Linked DNA regions of Mus musculus. The protein of the gene in region 2 interacts with the protein of the main gene of each other region in a biochemical or structural test. Links are inferred from orthologs where the notes say so. Each region holds a gene or a part of one and is shown on either strand. Other genes may lie near its edges.

Region 1 (2,748 bases), on a different chromosome or scaffold from region 2:
AGGCTGCTTTGCCGAACCATCCTGTCCACCAGGGGCGCTGCTGAGGCTGTCTGCCTGGAAGGGTCACCAATGGGCGCGGAAAGTCCTCACTCTCATGGCTCGGGCCATCGCTGCCGCGGGGAGGGATCCTGGCGGCCCGGTTTGGGGAGAGGCAGAGGGAGTTGGGTGAGGAGAGAAGACAAAGAAGACACTCGATGCTACAGGTGCCAGGAAAGCTCAAGCTGGCGCCCCACTACCACTGCCCGTTTCCCAAGCGAGTCCAGTCACTTGGCCCAGCCCAGTGCGTGCACACACACACATGCGTGCACACACAATCACATGCGTGCATCCCAATGTCTGGCTCCATATGGTGAGGTTCGGCGTGTGTTTATAAGAGACCAACTCTCTATGTATATAATATATATTTTCTTAAAAAAAAAAAAACAAGTCTAGTTCTGTGGTGGAGGCGGTGGGGGAGCTGGAGGCATCCCGAAGGGCGGCATGCCCGCCACCCCCATGCCCATCATGGTGACAAAGTTAGAAGGGTCCATGGGAGGCGGAGGAGGAGGGGGTGGGGCATACATCATGCCGGCGGAACCAGGTGGCGGAGGCGGCGGAGGGGGAGGGGCCCCGGGCGGCAGAGGCGGCTGGACCCCGGGGGGCAGGGGCACCATAGTGGGGTTGCCTTGCATCTGAGGGGTTCCTGGAGAAGCTGCGGCAGCCGCCTGCTGCTGTTGCCATGGCGGGATGGACCCTGTGCCAGCGCTCGTGGTGGTAGTCGTCGTATCTGGGGTAGTAAAGAAGCCCAAGGTCACACGCGCGGGGGTACACCGCGGCTCTCTGCGGCTGCTGCCTTGGGACAGGGGGGACGAGGGGCGCCTGCTCCTTGCTTTGGCATGCTGTACGGTGGTGGGGGGCGGGCGGGCGGGGCTGTCCTGGTGATGGGAGTGGAGGGGTGGGCAGGACTACCCTGGGGTCAGCCTCATGGTCTCTGGGCTTAACAAAGTAAGCCCTTTGTCACCAATGCCCCTGGAGGGGCTCAGGGGAAAGTTCCAGACACAAGAACCGGCTTTGACGTCCCTCCGCCCAGCCGCCGCCACCACCGAACGGCACATTCAACCTCAAGCCCACAACTACTCTCTCCCCATCGGCCCCTTCCCTTTTTTCTGCAGTCTCTCAGGCCCAATCACAACCCCCTCCAGAACATGCATGCACCATCCCACTCTTGACTCCGCTCACAAGGCATGGCCGAACCAGCAGCTCATTCAGCAGCTTAGCCTGGACTTCTGGTGCTCTATCTACAACAGCAAGCTCCCCTCCAGACCTCCCAAGTCTCTCCCAAACACAACCACGCCAAACATCAGCTCTCCTCCCCAAGACATTCCCTTGGGCCAGGCAGCCTGGCTTTCAACCCCACTGCCCTTGCTGAGAGACCAGAGTCCTCAATGAAGGTGTCTCCAGCCTGTGTGAAATTATGAGGTTCTTGTTCCCCTCAGCCCTAGCCCACATCCCACCCACCCCCACAAGCCCAAAATATTCCACTCACTTTGCTGCCATGGCAAGGGGGTGCTGGAAGCCATACTGCTGCTGGGCGGAGGGGGTGGCGGAGGCTGCTGCTGCTGCTGCTGCCATGGAGGAAGAGGACCAGAGGGAGGAGGCGGGGGCTGCCCACTGGGAGGTGGCGGAGGCGGCGGCATCATGCCCATAGGCGGCGGCGGCATCATACCTGCAGGCAGTAAGACCAGGGTCCTGGGCTTTAGAGAGCAGGGTCCTGGGCTAGAAGCCCCATTTGCTCCCAGTCCTAGACAGAGATCCCAAGAGAGTAAGCAGCATTACCTTTTCCTTGATGCAGGCGATAGACCCCAGAGCCCACAGGCGTACTTCCCAGGTACTGATCTTGATGGAAGGAAAGAGCAGGGACTTAGCAGGACATTTGAACTGGCCAGGCAAAACACCATAGCTTTCTCAGCTTTTTGACCCAAAAGTTCATGGGTCTCCCCGCACAGATCCTCCATGAGCCTAGACCTCAGCAAGATTCAGAGTACTAGCTAGATTCAGAGTACTAGCTAGCCAAACTGCTGTTGCAGCTCACAGCTCACTACTTGGGGTGACCCTATCTCCCCTCCCAAGCCCCAAGGTTTCTGGTCTGACACTTACTTACCCATTGGAGGAGGGCCATGGTGCCCAGGTGGGTGGGGGCCCTGGTTCATCGGTGGTGGTGGTGGCTGCATCCAAGGTGGTGGTGGTCCATTTGGGTTGTGCTGCATGGGATGCCCACCATGCCCACCTGTCAGGCTGGGTAATGGGTGTGGGAAGCTGTGGGGGCCACCTCCAGGACCACCAGGACCACCTCCATGCATGCCATGGTAGGGCCGATTCTCTGAAGGACCAGAATTCATCCAGGGTGGGCGGCTCTGAGTTGTAGACATGAGAGACTACGTGAGAGCATTTCCTGCCAATGTCCGCGCCTGCGCCCCCTGGTGGCAACATTGTTCTTCTGACTATGTCAGAGGACCAAGGACACACGGACAGGGTCCTCCCAAAGTGACCCTACAGAGGCCAGACATCCCAGAAAAACAATGTTGCCAGCTATATCCACCTCTAAGCTTTACCCCAAATCCTTGGCCATAGCTCCTTATCTCTGCAGAAGAGAACAGGGGAGCTAGACCAGAAAACTGTCCCAGGGCTCACCGGTGGTGGTGGGTTGCTGGCAGGAGCAGCAGGTCTTGGTGCACTAGCCAGGGGCGTGGTGGCAGGCCCAGAGGTAGA
Region 2 (3,824 bases):
AGTAAGTTCGTGCTCCTAACTGATGAGCCATTTCTTCAGCCCTGCTCTTTTACTCTAATCCTGGTGACAGAAAGTGGTTATGCCATGCTTTTCAACCGTGGGTTGTGTTTGAGGCCCCACTGGGAATTATCCTTCAGTCAGTCTTCTGGGGACTCGTGTTTTCTCTGCTCTTTCAGTGCCCAAACTCTTGCAGGTTTCTAGCCCTGTGTTGTACATGAATTCCAGTAGGGTGTACCTCAGGAGTTCTCTCCTTCAGGTAACTCACTGTCATCTCATCTCTAGTCATCTGCTTTAAATAAGTTGCCCTACGTCCTTTGTCTAGTTTGTGAAGAGTAGTCAGAAAAGATTTTCCACTGTGTTTGAAGCAAGCCTTGGCTACACCCTGGAGTGTCATGATGAGTCATTAAGTCTCTAGATGCACGTGTTCTTCATTCCTGGCCTTTATTAAAAAGTAATTTATTATATTCCCCTAATCTGGGCTGGTAGCATACACTCACTAACCACATTTTCAGTCCGTCACTCTTTCTATTCCTTCCTGTGGGTCAGTTTGAATTTGGGACCCGAATGTCTGTGGTATATGTTCTTGCTAGGAAAGTGGTAATTCCTTTATGCTTGTTTTAGAAACAGAAATAGTCAATTAAAGTTAGCATGCTTGACCATTTTCTTACAGAGCTACTTTTAGTGAATTTGCTGCCAAACATGCTAAAGATTCAAGATTCAAAGCAATTGAAAAGATGAAAGATAGAGAAGCATTGTTTAATGAGTTTGTGGCAGCTGCAAGGAAGAAAGAAAAAGAAGATTCGAAGACGAGAGGGGAGAAGGTGAGGCGGCTTAGTTGTAGGCGGGAGGGGAGCACTTGCATGTGTGTTCCTTGGATGTGCACAGTTGTCATACACATTTATAATCACTTTATAATCACCTCTTTTCATAATGCTTATTTTATGAACGTAAGCAAACTATATACAGTTGCTTTAAATTCTGATAAATAAGGTGCCTTGTCAACCTGGAACTGGGTTTTAGAACTGCATGCTCTGAGATCACTAAAGTGTGTTAAGATTTCAGAAGTCTTTTTAGATGTTAACATTTGAATTTCAAAGGACTTCTTACTCTTTGTATTCTATAAAAATATAACTTTAGTAAACTAGTTTCTAATCTTTTAGTAAACGTATCTTACATATAAATTATTGCTTATCAGAATTAAAGGTCAGCTATTAAAGATTAATGCATCTGAAATGTCATTTGATAGCAATGCCAGGAACAGAGAGCTCAGCACTGTGGAGGCAGAACAGCGGGCAGATGACCCCAGTGGTGCCCAGCCATCAAAACAGTCACTCTCCTCAGTGTTCCGGTCTCTTTGTAATAGGGGAAGGGGGTCTGGAGCCTAATCACGCCTGACATTCAGAATTGCTGCTTACCGTGGAAAGCTAAAATGTTACAGATTCTGTGAAGAAACCTTGTTAGGGCAGTAATCCGAAGGCTCACTTTTAAGACGCCTCTTTCAATTAAGTTAGTAAGAGTGCTAGTTAGATGAAACAGCTTTTGACAGTAATAGCAGAATTCTGATTATCTGATGGCTTCAAAGTAAATTTTTATACAATTATTTTACAGGTGACTTAAAATTATTATGCTTCTTAAACATACAGAAAAATCATGTGAACAAAAAAAATCACATCTCATATGTTCATTTAAAATCCCATAAATTGCTGCTTTTGATTTTTTTTTTAAGTATATAATTTAGTTTTCATTTTATGTGCACTGGTCTTTTGCCTGCATGTATGTCTGTGTGAGAGTGTCAGAAGCTCTGGAACTAATGTGAGCTGTCATGTGAGTGCTGGGAATTGAACTCTGGTCCTTTGGACGAGAAACTAGTGCTCTTAACTGCTAAACCATCTTTCCATCCCCTACCTTTGACTTTTAGAATAACATATTCAATTAAAGAAAACCAAGTAAATGATCATTTGATAGTCTATCATTGCACTTTTACAAATTGGATTATTTATGGCATAACTTTCTAAACATGTTTGAGATAACATGGATTTTATTTTTATAATAAGTGCTAGTCTTTGCAGTTTTCTAATTTAGTTTTAAGAGCTGCTCATCACTGGTGCACTGTTAGAGATTTCCTACTTGTACTGTTGCTTTAACGTCCGCAGTTCTGGTACTTACTAGTCTTACTTTTCCCCCTGACCTCTTTATCCTCTGGCTTATAAAAGACTGAAAGTCTGAGCTAATTTCAAAAATACAAAATGGATTATTAGACCAGAGAGAATTTATAAGGGTTAAGTAGATCTCTTGTTCACATTTTGTGAAGTATTTGGTTAATAAAAATGTTATCACTCTCTCTGTATTGTTTCTGCTAATCTTACACTTAAAAAATTAGAAGATAATTGTAGCCTTGTTAGTGGTGAGACTGGCAGCAGCAGCAGGAGGTAATTGACTGTGTGAGTAGTGAGGTTTGCGTCTGCGCAGCTTTCCAGTTTATGAAAACCACCTCCCTAGAGTTGGTCTGCTTTTATTTGGCTTATGTGCACTTTGTTTGCAAAAGTCAATATTGAAACTTTTATTTACTGCAATTTACTCATTGTAAATACTTCGTTCTTCATACCACACATTTGATGCTGTAGGCCTGGAGTTAACCCTGTTAGACAATTGGCGTTTTAATTAATTAACTAATTAATTAATTAAAATGTTATGCCATGTGGTGTAAGTATTTTTGCTGTGGTAAGGATAGAAAACAGGACTGTGAATTAAGCTCATGGTAAATTTCATTTTTTTTCCATTTATTCAGGTATTGACTACTTGTTGTGCTTAGCAGCCCTAGCATGTATGTCATGATGTAAGAGGTTATTTAAAGTATCACACACATTAAAGACTAACTATATAGTTCACATGTTTAGAGACTTTTAAGTTAATATAAATTCTCATGGCTTAGAACAAATCTTTTGACATAGAGTATATATACTATTTAGTGTAATTTTGCCTTCTAGTTATCAGACACACTTACGATTGATATTTATTAGGTACAAAGTTGGCAAGGTGAATAGAAAAATCGTGCTATTACATCAAATACTTTAATACTTGAAAAACTGGGCTTCTGAGCATTTTTATTAATATAAAGGTTAATAAAAAGGTTAATTAAGGTTCAAGTTTAATAACAGAAAAATCCATAGCTGATATTTAAAAATATTTCTGAAGCAGAATGCTTGTGAAATTTTTTGTCTTAGAACCTTACAAATGATTTTCAAAAAGAACATAGCCTCCCATAATTGTCTGAGAGGGGAAAGTACAGTTCTGAGAGGAGGGAGTAATGGGAATAGGTAGGAAGCACAATTCTTGTGCCACACATCTTAAATTCTAATTTGCTTCCTAACTCCTCACTCCTTGGTCAGACAGCAAGGAAAAATATTTAATCCCAGTAGTAAAGGGATGCTTGGCCAGAATCCTTTGGACTTTGGGTGTCTTCTGCTGTAGCCCTAATACCATAATTCAGACTCACTGGAGAGTCATGAGACAAGTGCCTCCTACATTTCCTCTCTGTTAAACAGACTGCTCTTGGACTGGGGGGCTAAGTTTAGTATTACTCAGGGCCTTTGACACTAAATGTGTGCTAGGATGTGACAGATGCGTTCCCTGAGTTTATAGCAGAATAAATACTTAACTAGTTAAAAGTCACAGACACTGAAATACTTTTTTAAACTAATGGTTAATAATTACAGAATTATTAGTTTTCTTATGAAGGTCGGTATAAATACTGTGTTTTTAAAAGCAAATATAAGTTTTTATTTTGTTTTGGGGGTTTGGTTTTGAAATAGGGTTTCTCTGTG

The links.
Region 1: the proteins of Tcerg1 (region 2) and Sf1 form a complex in vitro, tested with the Homo sapiens proteins (3 studies listed by BioGRID). The link is inferred for Mus musculus from reciprocal best matches to the Homo sapiens genes TCERG1 and SF1.

What each region holds. Positions count from the first base shown.
Region 1 is NC_000085.6:6,373,676-6,376,423, reverse strand, and holds part of Sf1 (splicing factor 1), read right to left. Parts: coding exon 2,671-2,748; intron 2,415-2,670; coding exon 2,141-2,414; coding exon of another isoform or gene 2,137-2,140; intron 1,876-2,136; coding exon 1,816-1,875; intron 1,706-1,815; coding exon 1,526-1,705; intron 767-1,525; coding exon 429-766; 3' UTR 129-428; coding exon of another isoform or gene 1-128. UniProt on the Homo sapiens protein: Necessary for the ATP-dependent first step of spliceosome assembly. Binds to the intron branch point sequence (BPS) 5'-UACUAAC-3' of the pre-mRNA. May act as transcription repressor.
Region 2 is NC_000084.6:42,563,413-42,567,236, forward strand, and holds part of Tcerg1 (transcription elongation regulator 1), read left to right. Parts: intron 1-670; coding exon 671-821; intron 822-3,824. UniProt on the Homo sapiens protein: Transcription factor that binds RNA polymerase II and inhibits the elongation of transcripts from target promoters. Regulates transcription elongation in a TATA box-dependent manner.